Drosophila melanogaster: one gene and its partners. The protein of the gene in region 2 interacts with the protein of the main gene of each other region in a pairwise test. Each region holds a gene or a part of one and is shown on either strand. Other genes may lie near its edges.

Evidence for each region.
Region 1: the proteins of rb (region 2) and MICAL-like interact in a two-hybrid assay, tested with the Drosophila melanogaster proteins (one large-scale study listed by BioGRID).
Region 3: the proteins of rb (region 2) and borr interact in a two-hybrid assay, tested with the Drosophila melanogaster proteins (one large-scale study listed by BioGRID).

The regions. Positions count from the first base shown.
Region 1 is NT_037436.4:13,011,476-13,016,856, reverse strand, and holds MICAL-like (MICAL-like), read left to right. Parts: upstream 1-1,524; 5' UTR 1,525-1,719; coding exon 1,720-4,752; 3' UTR 4,753-4,881; downstream 4,882-5,381. Other genes in the region: CG11267 (uncharacterized protein), read right to left, coding at 124-270, 339-500, 693-695; Cul6 (cullin 6), read left to right, coding at 5,288-5,381.
Region 2 is NC_004354.4:4,533,609-4,543,857, reverse strand, and holds rb (ruby), read left to right. Parts: upstream 1-3,231; 5' UTR 3,232-3,552; coding exon 3,553-4,194; intron 4,195-4,254; coding exon 4,255-5,083; intron 5,084-5,148; coding exon 5,149-6,372; intron 6,373-6,426; coding exon 6,427-7,214; 3' UTR 7,215-8,223; downstream 8,224-10,249. Other genes in the region: CG3568 (uncharacterized protein), read right to left, coding at 1-682, 736-880, 946-1,155; CHOp24, read right to left, coding at 1,802-1,951, 2,307-2,641, 2,714-2,855.
Region 3 is NT_033779.5:9,250,972-9,254,819, forward strand, and holds borr (borealin-related), read right to left. Parts: upstream 2,148-3,848; 5' UTR 2,016-2,147; coding exon 1,664-2,015; intron 1,380-1,663; coding exon 971-1,379; intron 906-970; coding exon 707-905; 3' UTR 501-706; downstream 1-500. Other genes in the region: aust (australin), read right to left, coding at 1-37; lectin-30A, read right to left, coding at 3,189-3,848. UniProt on the Drosophila melanogaster protein: Component of the chromosomal passenger complex (CPC), a complex that acts as a key regulator of embryonic mitosis.

The sequences.
Region 1 (5,381 bases), on a different chromosome or scaffold from region 2:
ATGCAAACAAAAATATTGCATGAGCTTTTATTGTAGTTTTTAGTTTCGGGTTTGTGGGTGTGTTACATACTAATAAAAAGCATAGAATTCATAGAATTGTGAGACAGTGTCCGGAGGCGAGATCTACTCCAATTTGGCCAGGATGTCGGACTCGCGGAAGAGGAACAGCTCCTTCTGGTCACCCTCTAGGTTCACCTTGGTGCCACCGAATTCGGGCAGCAGAACACGATCGCCCTCCTTCACGCCAATGGGAATGTGGTTGCCAGTGGACTGCGGATGAAGTGGGATGTTCAGTGATTAGATGACCATCTCTGCATTGATAATGGCGAAATACTCACGGCATTACGGGTGCCAGGGCCTACGGCCAGAACGGTGCCCTCAAGTACTTTGCCCACCGCTTTCTCCGGCAAAACAATGCCTCCTTTCGTCTTGGTCAGCGCCTCGGCACGCTGGATTAGGATGCGGTCCAGCATGGGGATGATCTTCTTGATAGCGGCGGCCTGAGGATCATTAAAAAAGACCCAACAATTAACCCATGTTTCAATGTTTCATGTTTCTCTCATTGATTACACAACAGCCCGGCGAATGGGATGTGGACCGAAAGCCGTGGAACCTTCTCGAAAAACCGATATCATCCTTCGATTTCAAACTGTCTTCTAAACCTCATATGGGGCAATGCACTTTTAACTTACCATTTTAATTCTTAAATGCAAACTGGAGCGGTTGATAAAAGTTAATGAGTGAACTTTTTACTCAACTACACGTGCCGGCGTAACTATTCTCGCTAGATGCGGGACTGCTTATCGTCGGTGTGACCAGGCTATTTCACGGATATAACATTGAGAAATAATTTTTTCTGTTCGAATACACTGAGAGAAGTCAATGCAAAAATTAATAGTTGTGTATAACTTTTAAAATGGTAATAAACTTTTCGCCAAGTAATTGCCGAGTTGATTTCCTATAAAACATGAAGATGAAAATGAGTCTGGTGGGTGGACTTCCATAATAACTTGTATACCAATTTCAGGAATTACTCCTTTTATATGCAATTTAAACATATTAATTTAATTTCCATTAATTTATAATAAACATGTTGTGCAATTTTCTGTTCTCATCTTTGTTGAGCTAAATAATCGTTTTTTAAGAAATTAAATCAGAAGCCCAGAAATCTTCTGGGCTTTACTGGTGTTTTAATTTTTTCAAATTTACTAATATTAAAATATAATATAATATAAAATAAACATAAAACAGAATTGTTTGTTTACTTCCTCGAAATTAGGTATGTTCAAACCAAGGAGTTGCTATTGATACTAGCGATTTAAATCGATTGACTCTGGCAGCGGATTGTTCACACTACACCCTGTTGCAAAGTGCAAGACAATAAAGACAAGCAACAAAATAATTGAAAAGTGTGGCATTCCTGAGAAAAATTAAAAAATTTCAGAATTTTCTAAACATCTTGTTTTTAAGAAGGGAAAATAGCACGAAACAACTATCGATAGCTGCTGACACTCCCACCACTAAATCTGATTGGGAGATTTATTTGAGTCACCGTTTTGCCTTGTTTACATTTAATGTAATTTGTACCAGATAAATCTTATTTGATTTTACTCAAGTCAAGTGGCACGATGTGCTTTTGTTGTTCACTTAGTTTACAGTTTGTGACTGCTATTTTCGTTTAGTTATATTCGCCAATAAGCCAGCAATTAACCCACTAAAATGTCTGATCGTCGTGGCACAAAAGTTGGAACTGGTACGAAGGCTTTGGAGTATTGGTGCCGAGTTGTGACCCAAGGATATAATGGGGTCAAGGTGGAGAACATGACCACTTCCTGGCGAAATGGACTTGCCTTCTGCGCCATAATACACCACTTTCGGCCGGATCTTATAGATTTCGACCGACTTAAAGCAGACGATATCTATGAGAACAACGATTTGGCCTTTACAACGGCCGAGAAATATTTGGGAATTCCCGCACTGCTCGATGCAGCTGACATGGTTTCGTATGAAGTACCTGATAGACTCTCCATACTAACGTATTTATCCCAGTTTTACAAGGTGCTCGGCAAGAGCCTGAAGCACCCGAAGCCAGAGGAGCCACTTGGCGAAGAGAGTGAGCCACCGCAAAAGGTGATGCACATTGTTGGGATGCCTCGACGTGATAAGTGCCAGAAATGCAACCTTCCTGTTTTTCTCGCCGAAAGGGTCCTTGTCGGCAAACGGGCTTATCATCGCACATGCTTAAAATGTGCAAGATGTTCGTCATTGCTCACACCCGGGAGTTTTTATGAAACGGAGGTCAATAACATATACTGTTGCGAGACTTGTCCCGATGAAGAAAGTGAACCGGAATCTGACATTTTAAAGTTAAAGACAACCACTACTGATTCTCCGAATGATAAACAAATGGTGGCACAAAGTTCTGATTACTCTGAAGCTGAAGATAAACAAGAAGACCTGGAAGATAATGATATACGTACTACTGATAAGCCTGAAAACTTCCAACCGCCGTCCAACAAAGATGAACAAAATAATGAACTAACTATTAATCCGGTAAACCCTATATTATCAGAGGAGCGTAAAATCTCTTTTATTCCACTAGACGAAGAAGATGGTGGCCTTATTGAACAATATAATAAATCAACAACTCCTGTAAAGCCCGCTATACCAGAGAAACCAAAAGTCTCTACTCTTCCACTAGACGATGAACAACATGCTGGCGTTGAACAAAACAATGATCTGGCGGTTAGTCCGGAAAATGACATTCCAAAAGAGAAACTTAAGATTTCTTCGGTCTCAATATATCTTGAAGATGACCGCCTTGTTGTAGATGCAATACATCCGGATAATTTAGATAAACAAGAAGCTTTGAACAATACATCAGACGCACTCATTCCAGAATCACAGGAAGCACCGATTCCTGAAAATAACACTCAAGTAGCCATTAAACCAGAAGACCATATAAGCCCGCGTAAAGAAAATAAAATTTTCTCAAACACAGAAAGCTGCTCTAAGCAGGAAGGTGTTCTCCCAAAACAAATGGATCTCGAGTCTCCCAAGGACAAGGTAATTGAGACAAAAGCATCTGAAACTGACTATCCAGAGGATCTAAATCCCTTTAAAGATGATGACTCATCTAAAGGTGCCAACCCATTCGACAGCTCTGATGATGAAGTGGAGCTTCTTAAAGCCATTCCAGCCCAACAAAGCAAAGGAAAAGTTGTACCGCCCCGTCCACCGCCACCTAAAATTGGCCTTTCATCCATCTCCAATCCGTCAGAGAAACCACATTCCAGCCCTACACTTTCGCATGGGAAAAAAATGCCGATGCCAACACCGAGAATATCTATATCAAAAACCCAGACTCCAGCAAAACCAATGACGCATCAAGGCCAGAAAAGTAGTATTTCCTCTTCGTCTTCGGAGCATTTGAATAGCATAAGAACGTTCGATCGCGGAGCAGATGACCGTGGCTCAAGCATCTCCTTGCCATCTGCAAATGGGCCTCGCAAGCCACTTCGCGCCTCAGTGGGGAGTCCGCTGCGAAGCGAAGAATCGAGTCCCACTACCAGTCTTAGCTCTATTACCTCTCCGATGCGGAAGAAGCGCCAGGCACCTTTGCCCCCAATACAAACGGACTTTGACAGTGATCCTGGATTTTCAAAATTGTCCGACGAACAAAAGGCATTGTTGCACACTCAGCTTAAGGCCCCAAATCTGGGTGATTCAACCAGAAGACTAATACCACTTGACCAGAGTCTGCTATCCGATGAGGCAACCGAGTCGAGTAATTACGACGAGAGCTTAAGTACATCCAATGCCGACGAGGAGGTAAATGTGGTATACCGACGCATTTTGGTGCCGCCAACTCAACCCGAAAACACTGTTGAACGTAGCAAGGAGGATCAAAAATCGCCTATCGTGTATAACGACTTCGATAGAAACGTAAGCCCATTGGGGCACAATAAATCCACTCATGGGAAATGGAAGAGGCGAAAGGGACCAGCACCAGCGGTTCCAATACCACCGCGCAAAGTCTTACAAAGGCTTCCGCTGCAAGAAATTCGCCACGAGTTCGAAATTATTGCGGTACAGCAGCTGGGTCTTGAGAAACAAGGCGTTATTCTGGAGAAAATGATCAGGGATCGCTGTGAGCGTTCCTTAGATGCCACCGATACTGATGGTCCCGAATCCGCAGAAGTGCTAACCAACTCAAAGGAAGTGGAAGATCTTATATTGCAACTGTTCGAGCTGGTCAACGAGAAAAACGAATTGTTCCGCAGACAAGCGGAACTGATGTACCTTCGACGTCAGCATCGCCTGGAGCAGGAGCAGGCGGACATAGAGCATGAGATACGAGTATTAATGGGGCAACCGGAGCACAACAAAACCGATTCGGATAAAGCCCATGAGGAAGTATTAATCAATCGCCTTGTGAAGGTGGTTGAAATGCGTAACGAAGTAATTGATAGCCTAGAGACTGACCGAGTTCGCGAGGCGCGAGAGGATATGAGCATCAAGAATCGGCTTCATATATACAATTCTGAGCGCGAGGAACCACCAGCACATCCGAGAAGCGCTGACAAATCATCCAAAAAGCTGTCTAAAAAGGAACGAAAAAAACTTAAGGAGGAAAATAAGCTGGGCAAGGGCAAAAAGTCGGACCTCGACAAGGACGTCGATGAGTCCGAACAGGCACCAGCTTTGGAAAAGGTTAAAAAGAAGCGAAACTTGTTCTTTTTGAAAATGTAGTTGGGGGCTGGTTGAGTTGAAGTGTTTACGCATCGAACAATTGAAATTTATTTTATATAAATTTGTAACCTATTAAGTTTCTATTGCCATATGTGAGCATTTCAATAAATAAAGTATATATTTTCCTTTAGCAACAGAACTTTGGATTGAGAACGACGAATGCGAATCATATTACTATATAACTCTGGGATAATAATTTTTAAAATAAAACAGAAGCGAATTAATCAGTTACAAATTCTAAATCTTAACCTTAAAAAACACAAAGCTCCCACACATTTTAATTATTACTTCGGTTCTGTGATATATTATTATTATGTTTAGTTAGTGGAGCTAGTATGTTTTTGCGTAGAGCTATCGATAAGAATCGTTGAATGGTTAATGTCAGGCGCTGGAAATTATAACATCCCTAAACCGATAAGACCCATTAATAGAATGTATCAGTAATAAGATCGTACAACAGCGCAAACAATCGCGGTACGCTGATTGACTTCCCCTAGAAAACCAACTTCAAATTGCAACACTATCATTAACAATAATGAATCGGGTTAAAAGAATATCTAATTACTTTGACTCTATGCTACCCCTGATCGATAATATTTTGCAAGTAGTGAATCAGATCTTCGATGATT
Region 2 (10,249 bases):
TGGATATAGGCGGGCTTACCAGCCTTAAATGCTCTGTCCTGTGCCTCCAAGAGCAGGGTGTCGAAACTGATGGCATATCGCTTGCGCATTACCTGGTGATCGAAGATGCCCTGAGAAACCTCTTCGAAACGCGTAGTATCATACGGAGTGTCGGCGTAAATGAAGTCCCTGGGCTCCTCGTAGAACTCGCGCCAGATTCTGCGCAAATCTGATGCAGGTGTGACCGTCTCGCTGGATATCTGTTCCAAATCGAAACCGTAGCCATTGGCCTCAGTATTTTGGGTTTTAGTAATCATGATATCCTGGTACTCCATCACATCGGGACGCTCGAAACGAGCTCCAATTAGTCCAATCACAACGCCCTCCCGTTCGATAGTGTCCTTATTCTGCAGCACCTCACCCCCATTGACCCTACTGCCATTGTTAATGAACTCCGAGTGGCAGGACACGTAGAGCAGGGCGGACAGCTTGATCTCGTCGTAGCTGAGCACCGAGGTCAAAGTGAGGGGTTCCTTTTCGGCGGGCGTACCCACTGCCTCGAAGCCCTCGTTACCAATATTTCCCTGCATTGTACGGTAATAGTCGTTAGCGCCAAAGAACCACACACATCTCTTCGCCAGCAGGCGCTGCACAAGGTCAACCACAGTCATGTCCTTGTAGATGGCCTTCTCCTGCTCGCTGCCTGTAAAACGATGACCAGAAAATATAAATTCTTTCGATTGTGATTGTACCCACCGAACGTGAGCTTGTGCTCTAAGAAGCTGATAAAGAGTAGGAGGGTCCGTTCGTGAATCACCGGATAGGCGGATGCGATTTGTTCCCGTATGCGGTCACTTCGATCTTCCGGCTGTGCCTTCACTCGGCAGGAATCGATGCCAAACTAATGTGGGGGGATTATATCAATGTCAGAAGACAATTTTGCGAAACCAATTCCAATGAGTATACCTCGGCGGGAGACTGCTCCGAAATAGCTTTGAAATTATCGAGATCCACCGAAGCGTCCGGCTTTGCCATTTGGCCACATTCTTGAAGCATCCGCTGAGTGAAAGCATTTTCCGGCAGATTTGTACGTTTACCAGGCCATATGATAATAGATTTTCCGCACAAACATGCCAATTTGGGACGTTGGGAGAGCATATAAAGAAAAGATCTCATCGCACTTTTTGGAGTCACTTTTAGGAGTCCGGACAAAAAAGTTCGCCGCTGATAGGAATATATGTCAACTGTCACTGGACGATCCAGTGCTGCACACCGACGTCAGATTTAATAACTTATTTCCACTGTCACATTAACTACCCAACACTCAAAAAGATTTGAAACGAATTTAATATAGCTTCTGAAAAGTTGTTTTATTTCCATTCAGATATTTCGAAATTATTATAGAATCCATTTCCATTTCGAAGTTGCAAACAAACTTTTCTCTTGTCAACCTACATTTATTAGAAAACAAATGGTTCTTATCAATTTAGTTCGAAAGTTCACAAGTGTCTCTTCCCCCCTTGAATGTGTGTCTGAAAATATTTGCTGTTCTGTTTCCATTAAGAGATATTTGGTAATTAAAAAAAAATATATATATTAATTTCTCTAATATAGCAATCTCTGTTAATAATTCTCGAAACAGAAACATGATCGACATACTTTCAAGCACTAATTACTTTTTACAAGGTATTTTATTTAAATTACAAAAGGATGTTAATCATTTAAATTAAATCTGAGACTGCAACGCATTGCGCACACATTTCCCCCAGAGCTTCGTGTGCCGCCTTCCTTTGCTACTTCCATCCTGGTTTTCCGCTCGGGATTACACGACGCGCTTGACCTCGAAGAAGCGTTTCAGGTAGTACACCTGGCCCACTGTCATCAGGACCAGGACGAGGGCTTCGAAGGTGGACCACAGCACCACTCGCGAGTTGGTGTTCTCGTTCACCGAACGATGGATCTTGTCGCGCACCTGAGGGAGTAAAGAAATTGGAGGATTAGTCGTGGATTACTTCACAAATAATGTCAATACTGATTATAACCGATGGTGAAAACATGAGTGTTTGAAAATCGCTACTAGTTATTGTTTATGTGGCAGCTAGCAGCTCCATTCCCTCGAACAAGTCTACCGACTCCGCTCTTAAATCTTGCGACGTGGATCTGTACAAGTAATGCTGGAGGCATGCCAGACTATGTGGCAATAGTTACTCGATTGCTCCCATATTCCATGTACCCCTAATTCTGCTACATGTTAAACTCTTCCAAAACCCCCAATCATGATTATGTGGCAGCTGGATGCTCCATCTTCACCTCGTCTCTTCACTCACATGCATGTACTCCTGTTCGTGCTTGACACTGGTCAGCGTGCCGGAGAGCTCCCGAATCATGTCCTCCAGCTTGGTGTGGCCCACCTCCTCCTCGCCGGGTGCTCCGGGCGCACGTTGCGGTGCGTCACCCACGTCGATGGAGAACATGACCAGCTTGGGGGTCATGCTGCTGCGTTCGTTGTTGAAGCACACGGTGTAGGTTCCCTTGGCGGGGGCCACAAAGGTGTACTTGCCGGACGACTCCTTTTCGCTCTCGTGCATCACATGGTTATCCGGGCCGCTGATCTTGATGTCCACGTCTAGGAAGCCACCGTCGATCACCTCGAAGGTGACGCCTGTAAAGTCACCATCATTTTATCAGCATAGATCCCTTGTCAATTGACCGAAAATCCATATCGCTCACGTACCAAACTTGGTGCCGCCTTCGACGTTCTCGAAGAAGCACTCCTCATTGTGGGCGTCCACGCTGACGATGAAGGCGTGGCTGGTGCGGCACAGGATCAGCAGGCTGCCCACAAGGAGCAGCACCTTGGCGAGTGTCGATTCCATCGTTTGTCTTAGTACTTTTGGCCTGGTTTTAATCGCTATTAAACGCACTGCAGCCACGTAGTTGTAGTCGATTCGATATACTCCGATAGATGTAGACAAATAGGGCATATCGAAGAACAGCAGTTTCCGATAGATTCGGCATCGATAGGTGCACGCGACACGCGATACCGAATTTTTAACGGATCACTACAAAAAACTCACAACTCATAAAAATTCAAAAGCAACATGAATGCCGCGAAATGTTTCGGTTAAAGTATTGGATATCGTAACTAATACATTACTTTATTTATGTGCGTACCTATATGAAAAACTCTTGGTGCATTCCATCACAGTTAGTTAAAGTGTTCTAGTATTTTTGTGCTATGTGTTAATCGGCGACTATCGACAGTTGCCCACCATTAGGAAACAGAAAGCTAAAAAAAAAAATGCAAAAATTGGCCAGAATTTCGGCATAAATAATAGTATCCCTTGCAAAACTTGCAAGCTGCGTGGCAGGACGAGCAGCTGACCACCAGATCGTCTTGAGGATTCAACATCAGGAACAAAGGTTTCACATTGGACGCATTTGCAAAAACCGAAAGGGAAAACTGCCAACTCCCACACACAAAAAAAAAGGAAAAAAAAAATCATCAGCACGGAAAGTAAAAGGTCAAGTGGTCAACCGAAATCTGGGTAATCCGGGGGAATCTTTGCAAGAATGCAGCAGAACTCGGCCAGCAATCCCTTCGCCATGTCCACATATGTGGAGCGGCCCCAAATGGGACTGGACGTCGAATTCGGAGCGGATCCTGCCAGCGGAGCAGCTTTCTTCCAATCCGATGGACGCAAGCATGATGATCTCAAGCAAATGTTGGACAGCAACAAGGATGGACTAAAGCTGGAGGCCATGAAGCGCATCATTGGCATGATTGCCCGCGGACGGGATGCCAGTGATCTGTTCCCGGCAGTCGTCAAGAATGTGGTGTCCAAGAATATCGAGGTCAAGAAGTTGGTCTACGTCTATTTGGTGCGATACGCCGAGGAGCAGCAGGACTTGGCCCTGCTATCCATTTCCACATTTCAGAGGGCGCTCAAGGATCCCAATCAACTTATTCGCGCCTCGGCTCTGCGAGTGTTATCCTCCATAAGGGTCAGCATGATTGTGCCAATCGTAATGCTGGCCATTCGGGATAGCGCCGCCGATTTGAGTCCATATGTGCGGAAAACAGCGGCACATGCCATCCCCAAGTTGTATTCTCTGGACGCGGATCAAAAGGATGAACTGGTCATGGTCATTGAGAAGCTTTTATCGGATCGCACTACTCTAGTGGTGGGATCAGCGGTGATGGCCTTCGACGAGGTGGGTCTGCAGCTAAAGTAAAACATTTATCCTCTATATACGACGGATCTTTATTCGTAGGTTTGTCCGGAACGTGTAGATTTGATACACAAGAACTACCGCAAGCTGTGCAATTTCCTGCTGGATGTGGACGAATGGGGTCAGGTGATCATCATTAATATGTTGACCCGCTATGCGCGCACTCAGTTCGTTGATCCCAATGCGGATGATGAGGATCTGGTCAACGATGGCCTGGGCGAAACGCCCGTTAGTGAACGCTTCTACGACGAATCCTCGCACTCCTCTTCCCACAGCGATGATGGCAGTAGCGATGACGAAAAAAACAAGTCGAGTACGAACAATAAAAACAATGGCGGAGGAAATGGCAGTAGAACACCCAGTTCTCCGAGCAACAGCTACCACATCGATGTGGATCACCGCCTGCTGTTGAGGCAAACGAAACCATTGCTCCAATCGCGAAATGCCTCCGTGGTGATGGCAGTGGCGCAGCTCTATCATCATGTGGCTCCCAAGAACGAAGTGCAATTGATTGCCAAGGCGCTGATACGACTGCTGCGATCGCATAAGGAGGTTCAGAGCGTGGTCCTCAATTGCATTGCCTCGATGTCCACCAAACGAAAGGCGATCTTTGAGCCGCACCTCAAGTCGTTCTTTGTGCGCACCAGCGATCCCACGCACATAAAGCTTCTCAAGCTGGATATTCTCACCAATCTGGCCTCGGCGGGCAGTATTTCGCTCATTCTGCGCGAATTTCAAACCTACATCTCCAGCAGCGATCGTTCGTTTGTGGCGGCCACGATTCAGGCCATTGGACGATGTGCATCTAGCATTAAGGAGGTTACCGAGACCTGCTTGAGTGGCCTGGTTCATCTGCTGTCCAATCATGACGGTGCGTTAAGCTTTCTTTTAGCCATTTGTATTTTAATTTTATAAGTATTCCGTTATTCCATTTAGAACACGTGGTGGCCGAGAGCGTGGTGGTGATTAAGCGTCTTCTGCAAACGAAAGCCGCCGAGCACTTTGAGATTATCACCCAAATGGCCAAACTGATCGATTATATCAATGTGCCCGCAGCTAGGGCAGCCATCATTTGGCTTATAGGCGAATACAACGAGAAGGTGCCGCTGATTGCCCCGGATGTGCTGCGCAAAATGGCCAAATCGTTTGTCGATGAGCAGGATGTGGTGAAGCTGCAGGTCCTAAACTTAGGCGTTAAGCTCTATCTGACCAATCCGGAGCAGACATCGTTGCTGTGTCAGTACGTCTTTACGCTGGCTCGCTATGATCCCAACTACGATGTACGCGATCGTGCCCGTTTTCTGCGGCAAATCATCTTTCCGGCGAGCGGAACGAGCTCGGTGCTCAGCCAGCATGCCCGCCAAGTATTTCTCGCCAGCAAACCGGCTCCGGTGCCGGAGAGTAAATACCGGGATGGCAATAACTTCCAGTTAGGATCGTTGTCTCACTACCTGAACATGCCAGCGGCTGGCTACAAGGAACTGCCCGCCTTTCCGGTGATTCCACCGGATTCATCGGTACGCAATATAGCTGGATTTATGCAGGACAAGCTGCCGGGTGAAGACTCGCCATCCGGACATTCAAAGGATAAATCCGGCCGTGAAGGCGGTAAGGAAAAGGGTGCTGGTGGCGAGAAGGGCTTCCTCTCTGAGTCGGACGACAAGTCTTCCGCTTACTCGGAATCAGGCAGCAGCAGTGGCAGTGGCACCAGCGACAGTGAATCCGATAGCGATGGCAGCGGGAGCAGCGATGAGGAGGAGGAGGAGGTGCAAAAGCAGCAGCCGACCAAGGTTTCCTCGGTGAAGGAGCGGCTTATCGATGCTGGAAGCAATGAGCTGGCCGCTACTTCTTCGCCTGTAAAAGCAACTATAAACAACAATAACAATGCGAGAGGTTCGTCAGGAACATCGGACAGCGAGGATTCATCAGCGTACAGTGGCAGTAGTAGTGATGACAGCGCTTCCGGTAGCGATAATGAAGTGAAAAAGAACGAAACGAAAACGGACACAGGCACAAAGCCGGAGAAGTTGAAAGAGAAGCACGAGAAACAGCCGGAGCAAACGGCTGTCAAGAGCAATCTGGACCTGCTACTCGATCTGGATGACATTCCGCCCATTGGTCCCGTGATGACGCCCTCGTTGGGAGGATTCCTGACGCCTGGTAAGGTGATGCGCATCTCTAAATTGGCCTCTTTATATAATAATTCTTCAATAGGCACACCAATGATGGCTGGACAGGCGGCGCCACTGCAGCCGCAGCACGCCCGCAATCGGGTGGAATTGGTGGGTCCCTCGCACATCGAGTTCAAGCACAAGGAGCTGCTTAACAAGGTCAGTGGCCATGGACTGCATTTGGCCTACCGTTTCACCCGCTCCCCGCATCTGTACTCCTCGAGCATGTGCTCCATTGAGCTGCAGTTCCAGAATCGTGGCGAAAAAGAGATTACGGCCATTCGTCTCGGGCAAACAACTCTGCCGGCGGGCATGCAATTGAATGAGTTTGCGCCAATCACTGTTCTCCAGCCCCAACAAACAGCGAGTGGTGTGCTGGGCGTCGATTTCAATGATTCGACGCATGCTGTAGACCTGGAGCTTCTGTCAAGTGCGGGCAGTTCACGACTGCAATTGAAACCGCCGGTGGGCGAGCTGGTGAGATCCGTCCAGATCGGCGAGAGCTGTCATCGCGAGGAGCGGGCCAAGCTGCGTGGAATGAATGAGCATCAGTGCGAGTTGCGTGGCCTGAGGCAGGACCTAATCGATGTGGTCGCATTGCGGCAAAAGGTTTTCGAGTCCATCAACGTGGCGCATACGCACAGCTCTTCCAGCGGTCAGCTACACTGTTTCGCCGGCCAAACCCTGAGCTCCAAAAGCCTCGTGCTACTCACCCTCGATTGGAAAACAGAGGATGCCCTCACGCTGCTGGTAAACTGCGAGAAAATGGTCATTGGATCCATGGTGCTCAACGAGCTGCGCAATGCTCTGCAGCTCAGTTTCGCCATGTGAGCGATGGACACGAAAGCGAACAAGACGAAAGCGAGCAGCGAACTAACTTGAGGAGTGGAATCCCCTGGAGCAGGGCTACTCAACTGAGAATAAGGCAAAGCCGCCTCACTACGTAAACATAGCATTCATATTTAGCTATACACTTGTAAACGGGCGGGGAGAACGTAATCTTTGAAATTAGCTGATAACATTAGCTGAGATTACAGGTGTTTTAAATTCCATTTTCGAGAGATTATATGTAAATGTGCAGTGTAACAGATGCAACTTAAGTGTTCAAGTGGGATCGAAATCCAAAACTAATTTAAATTGCAATTTCAACTGTAATTATTACATATTCTTTAACTTGTTGAAAACTGAATGAAAAGTGATGCAAACTATTGTGTAAATGCTACAAAACTATATTTATTGTTATACACATTCGCAAATTCTTAATGAAACTTATTGAAATGGGAAACACACAACTTCCTATATATTTGTATCCGCTTATACTGAGATATTTTGCATAAAAGAGTCACCATTTCCTTTTATGAATGGATGAACACAACATGAGATTAGTGTAGCTTTCATATCCAAATCGAAAATTATTCAAGGATTACCAACCGCCCCGCCCAAATATAAATGAAACATGATCCTAACGCTTTTAATATTCCTATATACAAACTGCAACCACAAACAATTCCAGATGAAATGAGATGTTACAATTGATTGAACTCGAATCGTTGCCGATCCAAACAAATCCTATCCTCCAATCCATCCTACTTAGCTAGGCGTGTGTGTAATGTGTGTATGAGTAATCGAAACGTATTTGTAAAGTGTTTGATGTTGTAAATCTGTTGCCTTCGTGCTCTATGCGGCCTTCTTCAAAACGTAGCAAAGACAAACGAATATCGAATCTATATATTATATATTATATTCATACAATAAACAGCGCAAATTCTGGCAAATTAAAGTGAACAAATGAAACGTATTCTAATAAAGAAACAAATCAATCTGTTAATATGCCTGAAACAAATAAGCTGAATCTCCGCATTGAAAAGCTGAAATAAAAGCTTACATTTTAAAATTGAGAACGTCTTACCTGTTTTGGATAAACGAATCAAGTTTAATACACGCTCGCACATGTCAAGTAAAAATGCTTTTTTCAAAAGTTTTCAATTATTTTGATGTTTATTCACGCTTGTTCTTGTTACTTTCTCCACTCACCAAACAGAATATAAGAAGTCAGCAAGGACAAACTTTCAAATGCAAAAGAATCGAATCGAATTCTAATTAGTTCAATTCCTTAAAATTCGAGTTGATTTCTGCATTTATGTATCAATTTCCTGCTGCTGTCGCTTGAAAGTCGGGATTGCTTCAAAATAGCTCCGTGGGAAATTATAGAAGGAGGTTGGACATACTGACATGCTGGGTTATAGAACATACATAACTCATTCCTCAAATCCTACGCTGCTTTCTCCAAATCCAACTGTGTTTTAGGTGTCGGTGTCGGTGTAGTTGTAGCTGTATTTCCTTGTGTTCTAATTTGGGTTCTGCACAATTAAAAAGCTCAATTTCATGCTTATCAATATAAACGAGTTAGTTAGATCGCTAGGTTAGTAATGTTTAGTTTAGTTTTGGATTCGCTGCTGCACTTAAAGATCTCAAGTAGTAGTTTTAGTAGTTGTAGTTTTCGGTTAGGCTAGGCTTTAAGATCAACGGCTTGAAAGTTCCGAGTGATAAGTGAAGAAATATAGGGTTTTGGGGATGCTATATAATGTATGATTAGGGGATAGATAGCATGTATGTATGTACGAATAGTACGAGTATGTACGTATGCATTAATGTAATTTTTGGGTAATATGGCATGGGTATATGTATGCTGTAATAATGGGTTGTGAGTAGTTCTTGACAGGCATATAGTAGAGCGTTTGTATATAGTGTCCTGGGGTAGTATCGTTCTCTTCTCGTTTTCGCTATTCTGTATACACGTTATATAATATGCCACGGCCTTCGTTCGCTTAACTTCATATAAAACTAGTTTTTTTTTTACCATTTTTTTTTTGTTTTGTTTAGTTTTCTTTCTTTTAAATGTATATGCAAGATGTATATATCGATTTATGCAGTATGTGTGTATGTCTAAGGATGATTTTCAATCACTTATTGTTACGTACGGTGTTTGGTATAACATGCTTCGCTTGGACTAGCCCGATGGCCTCTTTCTCCACCTCTCCCGTTTTGTCTACCTTCAGATTTATTAGATCCGGCGGATCGTTCAAATCGTTCTTTCCTTCCCTACTCTCTAACTTCAATAACATATAAAGCATTGGTTTGGTTTTGGTTTTCATCTTTGGGTGTCTTAAATGGGCAACGAAATAGTTATCGCTTATCGCACAAACGATATTTTCGATTATGGCTCGATTACCGAGACTATATAATCGATAAGCATCGATAGCTGCGAAGCGAAGCATTGAGAGGGCCTAAAACGGACGGATTGCTACCGTTAGTCAACGGCTAACCGTTCGATGCCTGTTGTTAGTGCATTTAAGTCGTTAAGTTTTTGTTTTTATCACTCTCTCTTCCTTTTTGTTTGTTATCGTTTTTTTTTTGTTTTTTAATTATCGTTATCGTTATGCATAAGTATTAGCCTGAGGTGCTCCGAATCGAGATCAGTTGTGAGGTCTAGAGCAATTAACTATTATGGTGTTATATCCTAGTTATCCCTTGGAAATCTGGGCTTCCACAGTTTACCTCCTTTCACCGATCTTTCACTCTTTCTTGTGATTTTCTGTGTATTGTTTTGGGTGTTCTTTTTTCCTTTTTTTTTGTTTTGCTTTGTTTTTTTTTTTTGATTACGCCATTATTATGCAGTTATATATGCACTTACTCAGGAATAGCTGTACTGTGTAGCATACAGCTATTCCTGTGCGAGTGTAAGTGCCTTTTTGCTTGTTGCGTGTGTGTTGTGTGTGTGTGAGACGTGACTATGGCCATATATATAATAAATATAGTCCAATAGCACCGGGTATTTATCGACTTTGCTTAGTGGGTTAAACTGC
Region 3 (3,848 bases), on a different chromosome or scaffold from region 2:
GGGCCTGACGACGAGCTGTAATCTTGGTGCGAGGCATATTTCTAACGATTTATATATTCCAGTCAACTAATCGCCTAATTCTAACAAAGTCAAAGGGCTCTTTGGTGAACAAGCGATTCAAAACTGTATTCATATCAACGTGCGAAAATACATTTTAAACATTTTTAACATAACATAATTTTATTGGCCACTTTCTGAAATCTGGGAACTTAAAAGCGGTTGCCTCTTTTGCAATTAGCAAAAGAAAGATGTTATTTGAAGGTAGCAGTTTTTGCTAGAGCCATGAAATCCGACCATTTCATCTGCAGCAAACGAGCATCAGTCCTGGCTTGAAGCAAACCCAATTTGTTGTCCACATCCTGCTTGAACAACTTGGCCATCTCATCGACTTTATCCATTGCAGAATTAAATTGGATTCTCACTTTCTCATCTCTTTCGATTCTCCGTCGTTTTGCTTGAAGGCGAGTAATCATCATGGAACGCTTCATTTTTTTTTTTTTGGATTAAGCATGTATTTAAAACATTACATTTAAATCGCCGTACACTTGGATATGAACATGTATTGAAACTTATGCAAATACGATAGATTTTTATGAATAAAGACAAAATACTTGAACTAAATGAGTAAAATGAAAACTGAACTTAAACGAAACGTATTAAAATATATGATATAGCATTATATCTAGATAAGCGTTTGAAATGACAGCTACTTGAACACCGCCTGGCTGGCCTTATTAACAATCATCTGCAAGTTCTCGTGCAGCGTTTTGATCTGGTTAAGGGTGTCCTCGTCCAGGTTCTCCAACAGATTTGACTCCACCTCGTCGGCATCCAGTTTTTTGGGCCGCAAGCTAAGAACTCCGTTCCGAATGGGTATGTTCACATTGGCGAACTTGTCTGGCATTCTATCGTGTGGGAAAAATGGTTTTAACAAATTGGTATCGACACGTAGTATGTGATCAATACTTACACTTGAGCCACCATGGGACTGCCGTATTTGGATAGTGCCACCTCGCCGGGCTTGGGATAGCGCAGGAATGCCATCGGCGGTGTAGTTGGCGATCCGGAGCGCATTTGCTTCTGTTTCAAAGGAGTGCGGTCGGCACTGAAGGCCTTCGCACGCGAGGCCATCGGTGTGCGCAGTTTGCTGCGCGAATTGCGGCTGCTGCTGCTGCTGCTCGAAATTGACGGCGGTTTGGCCGAGTGCAATATGTTGAGATCCCCGCAGGCGGAACGACTGCGCCGCGCTCGACGAGCCCTCGCCGAGTGCAGTGGTCCGGGTGTGCGCATGGCCTTCGTGGACCGCAGCAGGGAGCCTGTGTGGGCGGCCAGGATGCTCCCACCGCTGGCACCGATGCTGCTGTCCTCTGTAAGGTAGCCTAGATACAGTGACCGGCACAGGATGTGGATGTGGGTATATGCATTTTGCGTGCATTGAAATGTGCGGTGCGGAGTTAGAAAGCAAAGTTGAGTTAGTCACAAAGCCGGACACCAGTTAGATTAAAATTAAAAGTGAAAATGGCAACAAGAGGGTATGATGAATACCGAATATACAATGGAATTTGCCAATTTGGCATGTAAAACCGGTATTCATTTGTAATTCGGGTGATGACATCCTTGCCAGCAGATTGGTATAACAGCATACATATATAGGCCAACAAACCTTCGTCATTGCGACTTCCAGTGGCGGAGGGGGCGTGGCCCTCGATGGCGCTGCCACTCATGGACATCGAGGCGAGCAGCTGCGTCTGATCGCTGGCCTTGAAGTCGCTGAAGCGGTCCAGTTCCTCGAAGAGGCGCAGCACTTCGGGCATCTTCAGATTGGCCAGCTCCTTCTGCACCTGGCCGAGCAGTGTCTTCACCTGGTGGTCCACGGCGGAGAGGAACTTGGTCTCCAGCGAATCGATGCTGATAAGGCGGGAATCCATTTTCAGCTCGTACAGGCGCACCTTCTCTTCGCGATTGGCCACCTCGCGGTTGCGTTTGGAGTTCTTTGGTATCTTGGTGCGCGGCATCGTGGCAGCGGCCTTTGTTTACACGTTACAGGGTTTTTGCGAGGAATAACTATTTTCGTAGCAAGCGTCGTCTTTTTGCTATTTCTTTTCGAGTTTGTCCGCTAAAATTCAAGCGTCATGGAACAGTGTTGCCAGATGGCTTTTCATTGCCCAGTTCACGACCGATTGAAAATACTAGAAATATTTTGATGGTGTAAGTGTAAAATGGTAACACTAATGCGCGGTAAATTCAATTAAATAATTCGAACTTAACTGAAGTCACTCCAAAATAACACATTTAAGTATATATCTTCTATATTTATTTATCTATATTTTGAATAATGAGTTTTGAATAATTCCAATGAGTTCTGCAACTAATCTCAATGAACTAGTTCCCTACAACATAGAGATCGATTTTTTTTATATCTTTATTTTTGAAAGGGGAATTCCAACTACCCATTTGTTAATAATGTAACGGTAATAGCATCTTATTATTATAACAAAATACAATATTGGTATATTAGTATTATTGAATAGTAATAATTGGAAAAACTAAAGACTTGCACACTAGAGCGTATAATAACGTAAGTGAAAACTCGAGATATAATTTTGCATCGTATGTGCGGAGGTATCTGAAATGAAAAGCCCCAAAAATTGGAGCCGCAATCCTATTAGTCCGTTTCGAAATCTCGCCCCTGGTCATAAATTGCGCTCTGCTCCACATTGTTGGATGTTTGCTATCTGTCTCTGCTAGTTGCACTTTGGCTGCCACAATGGCAGGATTCTAATAAGCGTGGGTGGCTATGGGTGTGCGAATGGCCCACAAATCAAAAGCATTTTTGTCACCATTTGGGTGGCTTCCTTGTGGAGGGGCGTGGCACTGGCCGCCCTTATTTCTGCACAGAACGTGGACACGTCATGTGTGTAAGGCATTTTGAAATACCAAGCACCGCTTTCTGGGCACTTGATGGAAACCCCATATGGATTGGCCTGGTTTTGTACTTAAGGGAAAATATTTTAATTTTCATTACCCAATAATCTTAATGATCCTCTTGGCTGAGAAAACAGTTATGTACTTCATTTTTGGGCTAGTAAAATAAAAAAGACAGTAGGCTCATAACTTTATTAAAAGCTGTCGGTAAATTGCCGAGATGCAAAATGAAAATAACTTAATTTATTATTTTCGCATTCGCATCAATCCCACTGCTCGGCTTGACATATGAACAAATGGGTGTTGAAACAATTTTCATTGTACATTTCCTTGTTGTATACATTAACGCAATCGAACTTATTGCCCCTTTCTTCTTTCTTCCACTTAAAGAACGGCGGCGATCTGCCGGTGAGTGATGATGCAAAAAGGCCGTTCTTGAACATAGCATTCATATCTATCCAAAAGACGCCGGCCGGCGCTCTTGAGAAGATCTCATTAAACTCCTGCTCATCCCTGATGGTGGCAATGTGACCGCCCAATTGACGACAGGTGTTTGAGGCGCCAAACCAATTTTGTTTGTTTTCCTTCTCAATGTAGAAGCGTCTTGTGCCCATTCTCTGGAAAAGCGCCGGATTAATCCTGTGCGAGATTCGTAGTTTCTCGAGAGTCTCCACACTCTGGTTGCCCATTATGGTCTGCAGCTCGTTCAGTGCGTATGCCAACTTGCTTTGCATGGCCATCAATCGTTCTTCTATCGATCTTTCGATCCTCACTATTTTCTGTTGCATTTCACTTTCCTTCAGCGCAATGAATGTGAACCATTGTTGTTGATTTATAGCCACTTGATCAATTAGCAGCGGATTTTCCGTTTTGTTAGCGAGAACATCACGAGAAGCCCAGGCTAGAATGACGCATATAAAACA